2 linked regions of the Alligator mississippiensis genome follow. The main gene of each other region encodes a partner of the protein of the gene in region 2 in a complex. Links are inferred from orthologs where the notes say so. Each region holds a gene or a part of one and is shown on either strand. Other genes may lie near its edges. The genes, in order: MAPK10 and ATF2.

Region 1 (7,789 bases), on a different chromosome or scaffold from region 2:
GTCTTGTTAAATATCTTCATCAGTCTGGAAGACGGGATGGAGTGCACCCTCAGCAAGTTTGTGGATGATACCAAGCTAAGGGGAGTAGTAGATCCCGTGGACAGCAGGGCTAGGATTCAGAGAGACCTCAACAAAGTGGAGGATTGGACCAATAGAAATCTCATTAAGTTCAATAAGGACAAGTGCAAAGTCTTGCACTTAGGACTGAACAATCCCATATACTGGTACAGACTGTGAACAAACTGGCTGGGCAGCAGCTCTGCAGAAAAAGACCTGGGGGTTACAGTGATCAGTAAGCTGAATATGAGCCAAAAGTGTGTCCTTGTTGCAAAGAAGGCTAATGACATACTGGGATGCATTGGTAGGAGCATTGCCAGTAGATTCAGGGAAGTGATCTCCCCCCCCCCCCCCCCCTGTATTCAGCACTGGTGAGGACCATCTGGAGTACTGTATCCAGTTTTGGCCCCCCTGCTCCCCTACAGAAAGGATGTGGACTAATTGGAGAGTTCAGTGGAGGGCAACAAAAATGGTTGGGGGGCTGGAGTCTAACCATTCTGAGAAGAGGCTGAGGTCACTATGCTTATTTAATCTAAAAAGGAGAAGTTTGAGGTGGGATTTAATATCAACCTTCAAACTACCTGAAGGGTGATTCTAAAGAAGATGGAGCTAGACTGTTCTCAGGTGCTGGCAGATGAGAGAACAAGAAGCAATGGTCTCAAGATGCAGTAAGGGAAGTTTAGGTTAGATATTAGGAAAATGTTTCTCACTGGGAGGGTAGTAAAGCATGGAACAGATTACCCAGATCAGTTGTGGAATCTCCATTCTTGGAGATTTTTAAAACCTGGCTTGACATAGCCTTGGCTGGGATGATCTAGTTGGGGATACTCCTGGTTTGAGCAGGGGGTTGGACTAGATGACCTCCTGAAGTCCCTTCCAATCCTAATTATCTATTTAAAAAACCCTGACTTCTTGGTTTTAGAACCAAGTGAATCACTATGAATACATTTCTAGGTACCCTTACATATAGAGATATTTTAGTTGCTAATACAATTATATACAAACAAAGCTTTGAAAGTGCACGCTGATTTAAAAAAAAAAAAATAGACCCCAGACAACCTCAGTTCATTAGTCTTGGAAGATAGCTCCACAAGTTTCAAGAACAACAAATAAAAATCTGCAAAGAAATGCATCACTTCAGGATGGCTTGCAAGAGATAACCAAAATATGTAATAATACAAGATAAAATGAGAAGTAGAACACAGATCAAAATATAGGAGAGCACTCAACATCAGCTAGAGAGCCTGAATGTAAAGACAAGACAATAAAAACTTGAAAATTGTTTGTTTTTTCTCCATTATACTCTTAATATTAACTTTTCATATATGCATGTGTGTATAATATATATTACACAAACACAAGATAAGAAATATATCTTATAAATCACATGCATTTCTTATTGTGTGTGTGCGCACGTGCATGTTATAAAAAAAACCCTCACATATTATACTTAATTTGAACTACTTGGAAAATATTAATTTTTGAGATTTCCATGGAAAAGGCAAGAGAAGGAGGGAAGAAGCATTCAAATCTGGGGATTTCTCCCATGTTCATCATCTCTAATAAAAACACTGTAACCACTATACTTTTGTATAAACTATTTATCAACAATGCCACATATCCTTTCTATGAAGGTTGGGTTTTTTGGCAGAATATTATACCATCAAATACTTATTTACCATCCAAGTATTTTCATAGAAAATTAGGGTTGGAAGGGATCTCAGGAGGTCATCTAGTCCAACCCCCTGCTCAAAGCAGGACCATCTGCAACCAGATCATTCCAGCCAAAGCTTTGTCTAGCTAGGTTTTAAAAACCTCCAAGGATGGAGAGTCCACAGCCTCTCTGGGTAACCTAGTCTAGTGTTTTACTATCCTCCTAGTGAGAAGGTTCTTCCTAATATCTAACCTAAACTTCCCTTACTGCAACTTGAGACCATTGCTCCTTGTTCTGTCATCTGTCACCATTTTGTATCATTACTTCCTTACAAATTTCACAGCTAAACTCCATGGGTGCATCCAGATGAGCATGCACATGCAGTTTACAGTGCCTCAAAGATCCTGGTGTCAAAAAATAAACAAACAAACAAACAAACAAAATTGCCCCCAAAAAAAAAAAGTGATGTGGTATGGTGCACACAGCAGCACCTGCCTCTGTGAGGCAGGATTGGCACCACTGCTGCCCCAGGAGGCCCCCATGATCCCAGGTAAAGCTGCTGGAACCTTCACAGGTGCTTGCCCTAGGTTCCCCTAAGCACACACTTCCCCCCATCCCTGCCCCGGGACACTTTGGCACATGCTGGAGCATGCCCAGGGGCACAAAGCAGAAGCACAAAAAGGTGTCACTGCTATTTGTGCAGGGGCAACTCATGCCCCTGCATGTAGAGACATGCCCCATGTCTGTGACAGGTATCTGCTCTGGGCCGCCCTTAATGTGGCCCACACACCTGTCTCTGGGGCAACCGCCCGCCTACTTGCCTGCCATGCCTTGATCTTAATTAATTACTATTAATTAGCGGGAGGCTGCCCTTATACTGCCCCGCTGCTAGGGGGCGCTATCTGTGGCTCCATTTCCTCCCCTACACCGCAGTCCACACCTCGCTGATGGGAATCGCTGTTGTCTCAGTTCTCTTGCTATTTGGCCCCTTACTGTTCTCCCTGGGCCTTCCTTCCTTTACTGCACACTCCCTCTGGTGCTAGGGCTCCCTCCGGCCCCCTCTCACTCTGTGCCCTCTTTTCTGGGGCCTTTCTACAATGCTGCCCCCTCCTGGGGCTTTCCGTGCCCACCCTTGGGCTTCCCAGTAAAGCTGCCCCCTCTCAGGGGCTCACCACACCCGCCCTGGGGCTTCTCAAACGTCCCTCTCTCGGGCTGGGGTCTATGCACCCCGTGTGCTGTACCCGCTGGCGCCGGGGTCCTCACACTCCACTGTGAGTCCTCTATGAGGCCTCCTCCATCCCCTTATAGCCTCACCCACACCACCAGTGTAACAAACAGCAACACAAACTCGAGCCTCCTGGCTATAACTTAAACATAAGCCGCCTGTCTATAACAACTTTGCTCAAGCCTCTTAGAGCTGCCATTAGCTGTACCTGCAGTTAGGCTTCTCCTCGCATCATGGCTTAGAGAGCTCCTGGCTGCTGGCAGGGAACTGCCTCTGGCCTCAGCTCCTGGGCTTTATAAGAGCCAGGCCCTGCCCCTTAGGGTCAGCTGACCTTCTCTGGTTGCCCTGGCAACCCACAGCTGGGCTCCTTATTCCCTTCTAGGGCTTCTTCCCTAGCAGTTTTCCCCTCTATGGGAGCAAGGCACCTCAGTGCTCTGTGACAGTCTGCCATCAAATAATGATTTTCCATGGCTAAGACAGTTATGTGTAAAAATCCCAGAAATATACAATAAGGAAAGAAATTAGGACTTTTTCAGTAATCTCAAATTCTCAGATTTATGTGAAAGAAACAACCAACCATTTAAGACAGTGGGCTTTGAAATAAAATTCTGTCTTAAGAAAAGCTGATTTAAACGTGAGACTTCACAGCTGCATTTTTAATACCTATTAAAATATGGTGACTGATTTGTGATATCTCTACATTTGTCTGATATTTATAATGCTATTCAATAAGCTAATTTTATTAAGATGTAGAGCAAATGTGAATTTACTGTTCTTCCTCAGATGATTTGGAAATCTTATTATTACCCTTAGGCTTTTTTAGATGAGGGAGAGATTAATTGATCTGTCTCAATTTATAAAATTTGGAATTGTTTAATCTTATCCTTATAAACTACTTCTTAGGAAGGTACTGATGCCAGGATATTAAGATTAGAGATGCATGAAATTCCAGAATTTTGGTATGCCTGGTTATAACTGGTGGGATACAGTTCACAGATCTTTTACTGTCTTAGATCCACTTGGAATTTTGTATTTTTAGGAAAACATTAGATGTACCTCAAGTGAATGAGCCACACCACTCTGGAAACACTTGACCTGCTTCTGCTATGATAAAAGGTCCAAACAGCCAGGTTGAAATGCACCCATGCCCTCCAAGCTATTCCTTTTTGAGATGGTTCCAGCATCCTATCCATCACTCTAGGGAATAGTGAGCAATGGGCAGGCCACAATGGGCTCCCACTAACTCTACACCCTTACATCTAGCTCATGGCCACATCCTGATACTGGAAACTAGAGCCTTCTTCTGTTATCCAGCTGACAGAGTTTGCCCTGTAGCTCAAACAACAAAATGCTGGGTTGTTGTGCTGCACTTTCAAGGTGCAAGCCATGCTAGTGATGCATGATGGGATGATTGTCAAAAGACAAATAGCAGGACATATTTAATAAAACATAAGAAATTTCATACAAAAAATAAAACTAAGCAGGTAAGGCTGTATACTTAAGCATTCAGAAGTTAGCCAATGCCACATTTACAGTTGCCTGTATTAATTTTTCCATAACATAGCCTGTAATTATGTGCTTATATAGGTCTTACAGGGCCTTTGTTTCATTCAATCCACAGGATAGTTAAGGCAGGAGAGAGGAAGAAGGTGGAAATAAGGTTGGCCAAATTATCAAACTTGAGTGCTAGACTGGACACATCTACATGTCGCTATATGGCAACATTGCTGTGCTTTAGTGCTTCCTTTCAAAAACTACTAAAGCATGGCACCCGTACAGGCAGGTACTGTGCCATATGGGTGGCACATGCTTCAATTTTCCCACTACGTGGCCGTAGCAGCACGCTGTAAGTGGGGAGTGCACTGCTATGGAGACATAGTAGGTGATCATATGTAGACCCATGTGATCGCAACGTTGTCATAGTGCATTGTATGGTGAAATAGCATGGTGCTATGTTTCCATAGGGTGACATGTAGACATGCCCTTTGAAACTTAAATGACATTCTTTTAATAAAGTTTGGGATTTTTTACATGCTATATGTATGAAAACTGTAACCCCCTTTGCCTCCTCTTTTGCCAGCTGACAAAGAAAAGAGGGAATCCCAATGTACATCTGTACAGGAATCAGAGGCACATTCGCCTGATGTAGAAATGCCGGGGCTAGTTTATATTTTATGTAGCTTGGGTACCAATAGCTACAAAACCATAGCAGCATGGGCTGTACAAAAACTCTGGGCACTTGCTCAGCAGCTGAAACCCATGCTGTGTCATCTGTCATGAGATACAGTAGCTAAATAAAAGACAGCTCCGAAATGTCTATGTGAGCATCAACCATGCCTCTTACTGAGGCACTGACATACCAAGGTCCTGACCCAACACCTCACCATAGCTCATGAATCTTTCCAATTTTTGTTTATGGGCTGAGCAACTTCTCTAATTTCAGCAAGGGAAGTTTAGGTTAGATATTAAGAATTTTCTCACTGGGAGGGTAGTAAGATACTGGAACAGGTTACCTAGAGAGGTGGTGGAAGCTCCATCCTTAGAGGTTTTCAAAACCCGATTACACAAAGCTTTGGCTGGAATGATCTAGTTGCAGATGGTCCTGCTCTGAGCAGGTGGTTAGACTAGATGACCTCCTGGGGTCCCTTCCAACCCTAACTTTCTATTATTCCAAGTTCCAAACTAAGTGGATTCCACATTGTTTTGTATTTAGACCTGAACATTTAAATCCAGCAATTACCCTAAATTAATGATGCTGCCAAACCTGTTCCACCACCAAAACACTAGCAGTAAGGGTGGTGAAATGGGCCATATTCAATTCAGATTCAGCCCAAAATTGAGGACTGTAATTCAATTTCTCGATTTGGACCACTGTCCTGATTCGATTCGGCCAATTCTGAATCTGAAGATTCAGATGCTGATTCAGAGAATAGGCAATTCAGCCATAGACACAGCTTTAGATGTTTTTTCTACATACCTCAAGGTACCAGGTGCAGCTTGTGAACGCTGCAATGCTAGGGCAGATGAAGTGTCCCACAGGAGCGCGCCGGGGTGGGGGCGGCAGTCTCCATGTGCTCGGCGGTGAACCAGGTCCGCTGGGGAGCATGCTGTGGGGTCCCTCCATGCCTTTCTGGCTCTGCGATTGGCTGCGAGGGGACTCCAGGTGCCCCCCCAGACCCAGGAGGCACCAGTCACTGAGCTGGGGAGGGTGTGGGGGAGCCCCCAGCACACTCCCTGGTGACCCAGAAGTGCTTCTGGTCCACTTCTGGGTCTGCTGCCAAGCGCACTCCATCTACCCCAGCATTCACAAGCCGCCTGGTTCCTTGTGATATGTGGAAAAAATACATTTAAAACTGTGTCTATGTCCAAATTGCTGAATCTTTCCGAATTGATTTGGAGGGTTCCAGTTCGATTCGGAGAGATTAAAAGGGTCTCCGGATTCAATTCAGATTCAGAGATTCGGCCACCAAATCAGGCCAAATCAAATCAGGGACCGAAGCTTTGCATAACCCTAACTAGCAGTATCTACCATAATGGGAGATTATATATTATTATGCTTTTAGATTTATAGAATACAATATTGTTTCCTAAAGCTGAGACTCTAAGGCAGTCACCTTTTGGCAAGGACTGTTTTCAGATAAGTCAGTAATAGCTAACGTTTATAATTGCACTAAGGAATGTTTTCAATCTTACTAATTCCCTGCATATAAAAGTCATGAGCAAGGCCTCCAAATATCATGATATTGAGTTAAAAACAAAAAATTAAAAAAAAAGTAGTAATGTATTGGTGGGGGGCTTTTTTAACTGCCCTCTGATGTACGAGGCTTTAGGGTACACTTGCTTCATGTTTTCAAGCTTTTCTCCACAATCTTGGAGGAGGAGGACTAGAGCTTCCTCTCCCCACTTTTTTTTTTTTTTTTTTAAACAAAAATAGATTTTCATGCAGGAACTAGAGCTGTTGATTCTCATGTCTGGAGTTTTCAAAAAACACCTAACACTGTGAAGCTTATATAAGCATAATGAGGAATGGCAGTGCTGTTCTTCCATGTTTAAAGGTGCCAATTCTTTGTGTAACTAAAATCAGGGCAAGTATATATGCAGACATCCATATGGGAAAGGATAGTCCATATTTATTTATTTGTTTCTTCATTCATTCAATTTATATGCTTCTCTTCCCAACAAAGGCTCAGGGAAGCTACAATAAGAGGAAAGAATAACTTATAAAAAAGAAGAATGAAAGAAAGAGAAAACAGGAAAATGTAAAAAAGGAGCTAGAACACCAGTATTCTAGATATGGATGTTCTGACACTTAATTTGCTTCCATAGTAAAACACATCTGATATTTTAAACTAGTACTATTATTGAATCTACAACATTTTTCCTGTGGGCTTTGTTCTGCTGTTTTCACTTAATGCTGAACAGTCCTTGTTCTGCAAGGACCTAAACTGACTTAACTGGACCAAATGGACCAACCTTTTTTGGCAGGGGTGCCACAAATTTGCCTTGCAGCCTCCCTGAGTGCCACTCTGATCCCCTTTGCCTGCCTGATCTGGTGCTCTGCTTTCTGCTCCCTGTCATATATGCCATTGTGCTGAATGTCCTTTTCCCAGTCTTCCACATGCCAAACAAAAAAAAAAGGTTGCCCGCACCACTTGGGACACATGTGCTGTTGGTTGGCTACCCCTGAACTAGACTATTAGCAGAATGCAGCTCAGCTTAAGCAAAGATGGCAGAGCCAGGCCCTGCATTAGAGCTAAATAAATAAAACCACAAGTAAATGGTATGAGTGAAGCATTACTTTAATAATTATGTCACTTACTTTTCCTTTTATCAATACAATGCCCCTGGTTCCC
Region 2 (8,102 bases):
ATGCAGTAATATGTTCAAACTGCAACTGGTAACTGGCAGAAGTGTAAAATGATCTCTAGTTCATGGAGGTACTTCTCGCTCTTGCATCACAACTTGCAGGGTGGTAATCCATTAAAAACTTAAATATTCTCCTTCCCATACTTTCTAGGGAGATACTCTGCATTTTCGTAACAAATGAACCTGATAACGCCATCTTGGCTAGGGAGAGAGTTGAACAGCGTAGCTTGTTTACAAGCTGCTTAAAATATTGCAAAGGTATTCAGGATAGGTCTGGTTGTGCAAATGAACTCCTTCCTGTACTGTACACAAGTGGAATTTAACAAGAAAACCTGAGCTGATATTCCCTACCTGGTGGTTTTCTTTCTCCTGGTGAGCATATTTGACATGAAGCCTACACAGGCTAGGCTTTTTCAGTTGTAATTGAGTGGTGTAAAAATGTTGTGAATTTTTTTAATATAAAAGGGAATTTAGGGTTGTTCTATAATTGGACATTAATTTCAGAATCAAATTTAGTGATATGTAGCTTACATTATCTTAATGTAGTCTTCAATGAAGTGCCTGTAACAGTGATACTAATGTTACCTTTTGTATAGGTGTAGTTTGTCTCTCTTTTTTTGTTTTGTCTGCTATGACACTTTTATAGCGTTCTGTAAAACTTGCATCATAACCACAACTTTTTAAATTTATCAAATGATACTTGAGTTGCATCTTCATAAATATAAAGCATTTAATACCTCTCATGCATTCTCTTTTAGAAACCCTTCTCTGAAGCAGCAGCTGTTCTCATATGCTATCCTGGGATTTGCCCTGTCTGAAGCTATGGGTCTCTTCTGCCTGATGGTTGCTTTCTTAATCCTGTTTGCCATGTGAAGAGAGATCTGCTTGTGATGTTGGCATTAGTAAATTACAAATGTAATTCTGTGCATCTTGCCGGGACTCTCAAAATGTTGGTGTTGTGGAAATGTACATTATTTCCAAAGTCATGTCATTAAAGACTATCTCTAACTGTCTAGCTATGACCTTCATCTTTAATTCGAACACTTTGGATGGAACTGTTAGACACTTGTTTCTGATTTTCCCCTTAACACTGAGTGCTCATATGCTGACCTCCAGCCACACAATGTAGAACAGAACAAAAGTGGTGTTCTCTATTTGGTCACAATGCTGCATGTCACCTTTTTAGTCTAAATGCTGTGTGTCTACCACTTTGGCCTTCAAATCTAAAAGAGATTTCTTAAGTTTATGAAATTTGTAATGACTTCAGATAACACTGAAAGTCCCAAAGAAGGCTCCTAGCTGTTACCAAAACCAGCATTTTCTATTGCTAATCTAACGTCTGATTTAGTGGTTAGTATTGCCATTTTATACATGCTGAGGCTTATTGCACATCTAAGGATCTAAGCAATCTACAAATGACAACATTGCTTCATAGCTGCTACAAAACATGAAGTCAAATTGCTTCAGCGTACAGGCAACAGACAATTTGTTTGTTATGGTGAAGTCAGGGCAATGGTGGAAACTTAACAAGAACAAAAATTCTAGACCCCTTTTTTTGAAATGGGCTCTTTCAGGCTTGGGAGGTTCTTGAACAGTAACTTTGATAATAGCACCAATGTGAAAGAGTTTGATCATATTGCTTTCCTTGCTTAGAACCAGAGGGCCAGATACTTGCAGACTTTCAGAAATGATTGTTTTGAAAGCTCAAAGTATTTGCAGTCACTTGAAGGGTGTAACTTAATGCACATACTGTTCTGCTAACTTTGACCCTCCAAAAACATCTCTTCCTGCCATAATCTAGTCATTCCTGGAGAAAACTACCTGTACAAAGTACACACTAAGTGATGTGTATCATCACATATAAAACACAATTTTCTCTTGGTAGTAAAGCATATAGTTTCCTTTTAATATGGTAGGGGCCTGGGCCTGTATTAAGTTGCATTTGTTTTTCCTTCAATCTTAAATTAATTGGAATGAGTTAAAAACAATCTGCAGGGTTGTGAAATAGCTGCTCCTGCTAATGAAGCTCCTAAGAGAAAGCAGAACAAAGGATAGCTGTCAAGACCATTAAAAAAAGAGTTGTTAACATCTGTTGAATGAAAAGTTTAGAAGGAATCAGGTAGATTATAATAAATCATAAGTCAACTGACTCTCAGCCCTGCCTCAGTGGAAATACTGCTGCCACTAAAGTCAGCTTTAACTTTGGATGGATCCAAATTTCCTCATCCTTTCCTCATTCTTAGTGTTCACTCTCTGCCCTCTTTCTTTCCTGTTCCTTGTTTTCTCCCCATTGCCCTTGAGCATATAGCTACCTTTCCCTTGTCTCAAAATGGCCTAGATTTGAAGGGCATAGTTCATTGTAACTGGTGCTGCAACCCATGTGATAACAACCAGTACCTAACAAGAACACAGTAAGTGTCATACTGGGTTAGGCCAATTATCCATTTAACCCAGTAGCCTGTGTCTGACGGTCACCAAAATGTGTGTGTTGGAACACTGGTTCTCAACTTTTTAGATTTAAGGCACCCCATGTAAGATTTGAGGCATCTCTGCATAACTTTTTTGATTTTATTGGCATCCCACTTCAAAAACTAATTTATTACAGTGCTTACCTCCTTGCAGAGGAGTCAGACAATGGGAATGGTGATGTGGCTATGCAGAGTGATGCCCTTATTTGTTTATCTTCTTACATTTGCAATCTGAGCTTGTCATTACCTGCTTATTTCCTCACACTTTCTGGGGCACCCTTCAAAGGATCTTGTGGCACTCTAGGATGCCCTAGCCCCCTGGTTGACAATCACTGTGTTAAAGGAACAGCACTGAAGTTGGTATATCTAGAACAATCTATCCTATGTGTTACCCTCCTTGGTATCCAGCATCATTGTTTTAAAGATGTTAGAGAATATATCTCTGACTTCTGTTTAAAATAAGATTAATAATTTTAAAACATACTCAATGCCATTCCTTTAGTATTTGGCACTGTGAGGAGGTTTTTTTTAAGCTCTTGGAAGACGGGAAGTATGTAGTTGAAAGACATAAGCTCTCTATTACCTCAGAGTCCAAATCCTTCAAAACTCATTTACAATCAATAATGATTTATTATATAAAGGGCCTGCTTATATAATATGCCCTTTCTCCTAGTATTCCTAATTCTTAAAATAGTTTGAAAAGGACAAATCTGTTGCTTTACCCTCAATACAATTTAAGATATATTCCACGCCCTGGAGTAATGGGGGGGGACAATCTTTTTGACAAGTGTGCCACAAATTAGCCTCACATCTTCCCCAAGTGCTACTTTGCACCCTTTCCCCTCCCTGATCTGCTGCTCTGTTTTCTGTTTCCTGTCCAATCATATAGTTTCATATTTGGTAGGGTCGAAAGGGACCTGAGCAGATCATTAAATCCAACACCCTGCCATGGCAGGAAAAAGTACTTCGTCTAAAAAGGTGCAGGAAAAAGGTGTTCGTCTAACCCCTTAAAGACCCCCAGGGTAGGAGCCAGCACCACTGGAAACTTTGGGGGAAATTTTCCAATGGAAACTTTGGGGGAAATTTCAAAAAACAAAATTATGTAATGGTATTTCATTATTACATTAGATCAAACTCATCTTTTTTTAGACGTGCCAACTGATGTTGCTTATATGGTAGGGGGAGGGGGCATAATGGTACTGATCTCTCCCTTGTGCAGCACTTTGAAATCTACTGATGAGAAACTTGATATAAGATGTACGTTTGCCCAGGGCCCCTTGTCTCTCTCTTGCTTTAAATACATGCACAGCCCCTGCCATGTGGGGAAAGAGATTCTGGACTGAGGGGCACGGGGATCTCTGGTGGGTGGAGCAATTGCAGGTGCAATATTCCAGAAGCCACAAGGAAATCGCAAGCTGTTGTCTTGAGATTGATTGTATTACTGTATCTACCACCCAAAGGGTTTGTCCTAAGTTTTAAATGTATTTTTGTGTTCCTCATAGCTTCCCTATCTGGGGAAAGTAGTTGATGCAATTTGCCAGTGGTAATTGTGTAGATGCCCAGCCCTTGGAAACTTCATTCTATGGAGGGAAATATCATTAATTGGCTGTACAGGTTCAGGAGGCCCAGCAAGACAAAGGTCTGCAAACTAAGCCGTGGCTATAGAAAGGGAGGATAATGTGCACAATGGAACAAGGAGTCTACAAAATTATATGCTGTATCTGCTAGGCAGCTAGGGAGAGGATGGGTAATACCCAACAAGCTTACTCCAGGTATAAACTGTCAATTGTTTTATGTAAAGTTTTCTCTGGCATTGTATTAAACAAATAGGGCAGTACTCTGCTCTGTGAAAGCTGCCTGGTCAGGGGTTGAAGCTGCCGGTGTCCCTGGAAATCTCTGGATTTCCAGGGGCCAAACTGAACTTGGTCACAGGATGGAATTGCCTTAGAACTGCTGGGGGAAGAGGGAAAGGAAGGCAAGTGATGATGGGAGGCCAGAGACCTAAGCTGGGTATCTGGAAAGAGGCCACAAGATTCACAGGTGCAGTTAACACTGGAGAGAAAATACAAAACCTGTGTGATGAGAGAAAAGGGGCACTAGCATAGGTCGAGGGGGAACGGAGGCATAGGGTAGAGAAAGATGCAGCAATCCTTTTGGAGGGAGACGGGAAGGTGGGGATGGCTAGTTAAATAGGAATGGGAGGGTGGGTGATTTTTGGGGGGTGGGAATAAAGGAGCCCCTGCTGTATCTGATGAACTCAACCTCAATCTATCTTTTCAGTACTAAGCCTTAAAGGTTTTTTTGTTTGTTATTTTTAAAAAGCAACGCCTCAAGCACAAAAGGTGCAGTCTTGGTTTCCCATCCACACACTAGCGAGCGCAGTTCCTGCTTAGCTTGCGGCAGCAAACGCGCTGCAGCTCCAGCCACACCCAGTCATTCAGCGCTTCCGGCCACACAGACAAGTCCGGTGTCGCCGCGCGCCCAGCCCCCGCCAGCCAATCGGAGAGGGGCTGGGTTCTCTGCCCATCGCGGTGTCACGTGACCAGCTCCCCTAGCAGCGCTCGGGAGATGTCAGCGAGGTCTCGCGAGATGTGACGGAAGCCTGTGGGGGACCTGGGCTTTAATGTGCGGTTCGGGCCGTGCTCCGGGGGTGAGTTTGTAAACAGAGCGCGGGCCGGGTCGGGCGCGGCAGTGGTGCCTTCGTTCCCGCAGGCGACGGGGAGGCGCGGGCGTTGCAGGGCCCGGTCTGCGGTCGGGGAGCGGCCCCGGGTAGGCGGGGGTGCCCGGGAGGTAGTAATATGGCGCCGCCGCCGCTCTCCGGAGGGGCCCCCTCCCCCACCGCGGGCCCTGCCCCGCCGTCCCCGGGGCAGCGACCGCCCGCGGAGGAGGGTCGCTCGGGGGGGGGCCGGGCCGGGCGAGCCTGTCGCCCCCTACCCGGAAGCGCTGCGGGCCCTGGGGATGGGACGGGCCGGGCCGGGCTTCACCTGCATCCGCCGGGCGGTGGGGGCCTGCGCCCTCCGCGGGAGCCGCCGGGCCGGCCCTGCGGGGGATGCGCCGGTGAGTGTCTTACCTGCCTGGCCCCGACGCCCCGCTACTCTGCGAGGTGTCGCTCTCTTCCGCTCTGCCCGGGGACTTCTTGCAAGAGCTGGGGTCGGCGGCGGGGTGATGACAAGCTGCGGTGCTCCCACGTTGCGGATCTTCCCTCAGGCTTCCTGTGCTGCTGGGCTGGCAAGCTGCGGGGCTGGAGCTGTCACACCTCCTGCCTCCCGTTCCCTTCTTGCCCCAACCTCTTCACCCCCAACCCTGACCCCGAAAGGGACTTGCCCCATTGCACACGGGTGGTTCACTTCTCTGTTCCTCAAGCAGTTCATTCATTTCTGAAATAAAGATATTCTGCTCTTTCTTTGCCCTTCCAGTTAACACACACAAGATTATCTTTGTCCTCTAAATAAATGAGGCTTTTTGGGTGCGGCCTTCGACCTTCCATTAGCCAAATCTTGTTTTTTTCCTTCCCATGCTCCTGTGAATGAATCGTGGCAAGCACCCACTTTATTGCTTCAAGCTATTTGAGTTGAATAAGTTAGGTTGGACTTATCATGTATGTGGCTAATGAAAAATATTGTTGTGATCTGAGTTCTAAATTGTTGTGTTTTAGAGCAGTGATCCTCAACCAGGGCACCATGAGATACTTTTCAAGTTGCCACATACAAGCATGGTTAGATATGCAAGTATCTACAAGTGATTCATAAGCTAAACCTTGAGGTTTTTAAATAAGAATTCGTAGAGCGAGTCCAGCTGTGCATGGAAGTTTGGTAGCGGACCTTGCGCTGCATGCTGCCTGAGCATGTACTGCTTCAAGTTTTTTTCTGGGTTTTTTTGTTTGTTTGTTTTTTTACCCCTGGATATCTAGGGGTCAAAAAAACCCCACAATGAAAAAAAATGGAGCAGCGCACATTCAGGCAGTGCACCCTTGCAGCACAAAGAATGCTGGACTGTATGGTATGTGGTGCTGCAAATGTGCTTGCGGCACCATATACCATATGACTGTGCTCATTTGGATGTACCCATCGTGTCCTAAACGTTTTGGCCTGTTTTGGTCTTTCTCAGTTCTTTGAAATAGAATAATGATTCTGTTTTTCTGGCCTTTTCAAGTAAAGGCTAAGAGCTGACATTTTCAAGGGGTGCTTTGAGTCTAACAAGTTTGAGTGCCACTGCTTTAGAGCATAAATCACTATTTAAATGATGGGATAAGAAAGAAAGCTTCTGTATGGTCATTTTTTCCGTAATTGTTTTCCAGAATATAATATCTTGAACCATTTATTGAAGGATGTTTTGTACAGGTTGTTTAGAGAGACTTACTCACATTTATATGCACTTATGCACCTGCTTAAGGTTACTACTAAGAATAGTCTCATTGATTTTGGTTGAACTAGTCACAGTAGTAAAGCTAAGTACCTATGCGGGTACATAGCATATTACAAAATATAAGGGTCTCGCTGCAACCTGGTCCAAAGAAAACTTTACTGGGGTTCCCTGTTCCATAAAAGTTTATTGGCAAATATGATCATTAATTACAGAAATAACATTAATGAAATAACATTTTTGGAGAAGTGGAGTGAGTCACCATGTTCACTGATGAGTTTATATTTGGGTAGTTAATATTGCACAATAATAGGTCATTATTATAGCCTGATTCAGAGAGCAGTAATATAAACTTCTTGGTGTATTTGTTCTGGATTTTATAGGTGAACTATATCTTCTGAGTACTGTTTCCTACTCAGAAATGCTGTATGATTTGATTATATAAAATCTTTTGGTTGTATTTCCATTTCTACATCTCCGCAGCACATTCTGTGTCTTATAAAGGTTACACTTAGGTAATACTGTATTCTACTGACTTTTGTCATTCAGGTATGATTCAGGTGTGCTTATGCCAAGGTCCTGTTCCATTATAAGACATTAGTCTGTTTTTCTTTGTGTTAATTGCATATGGATACCTAGGCATGGATCCAGAAAGATGCATCTTTCATTCGCACTTGGTGTCGTCTTGGTTTTGATTTTTCTGAGCTCAGCTTGTCCCTACACCACTTTAAAAACATTTAACATGTAAAGTTGCCACAAAAAATTTGCACTGGAACAAGCACTGTGTGGTGTACACAACTCACCTTAAATGTTTGGTCATATTACTTTTACCTGTTTTCCACCACCAATCCTTCCCTGTTGTGGTGACACCCACTTGTTGCATTTTTTTGTAAAGTAGACTCTTAAGTTTTTGTGGGCTAGGACTGCTTTCCTACTTATTTGTACCTCTAGCTCAACAAAACCCAATCTTTACCAGAGATTTTGAATGTTATTCTAGAACTTAATAAATAAGAATGGAAATGATATATATTCTGAAGTACAGACTGTCTTTGTATTAGTGGGATGTTGTTAACCTAGAAATTACAGTTCTTTCAGACATATCTTTATTATTTTCACAGGCAAGATCAAAGATAAATGCAACTAAAATACTAAAGAAATTAGAGGGGTTTTTTTTAGTTTTCTGTTACCAATCTGACAGGTCTTCAAATATAATTAATTCAGTTCCTGCTTTTTCACATAAAAATAAAACAAAAATATGAGTGAAAAGCAGCAAAA

What was found.
Region 1: the proteins of ATF2 (region 2) and MAPK10 are in contact, whole or in part, in a crystal structure (PDB 4H36), measured with the Homo sapiens proteins. The link is inferred for Alligator mississippiensis from reciprocal best matches to the Homo sapiens genes ATF2 and MAPK10. Residues at the interface, in NP_001243019.1 of Homo sapiens: Lys48, His49, Met51, Thr52, Leu53, Lys54, Phe55; in NP_620448.1 of Homo sapiens: Asp150, Ala151, Gln155, Met159, Glu164, Arg165, Tyr168, Val197, Lys198, Ser199, Asp200, Cys201, Trp362, Glu367.

Annotation. Positions count from the first base shown.
Region 1 is NC_081825.1:149,719,717-149,727,505, forward strand, and holds the start of MAPK10 (mitogen-activated protein kinase 10), read right to left. Parts: upstream 3,183-7,789; 5' UTR 3,145-3,182; intron 1-3,144. UniProt on the Homo sapiens protein: Serine/threonine-protein kinase involved in various processes such as neuronal proliferation, differentiation, migration and programmed cell death.
Region 2 is NC_081827.1:209,822,309-209,830,410, forward strand, and holds the start of ATF2 (cyclic AMP-dependent transcription factor ATF-2), read left to right. Parts: upstream 1-5,017; 5' UTR 5,018-5,115; intron 5,116-8,102. Other genes in the region: ATP5MC3 (ATP synthase F(0) complex subunit C3, mitochondrial), read left to right, coding at 756-870. UniProt on the Homo sapiens protein: Transcriptional activator which regulates the transcription of various genes, including those involved in anti-apoptosis, cell growth, and DNA damage response.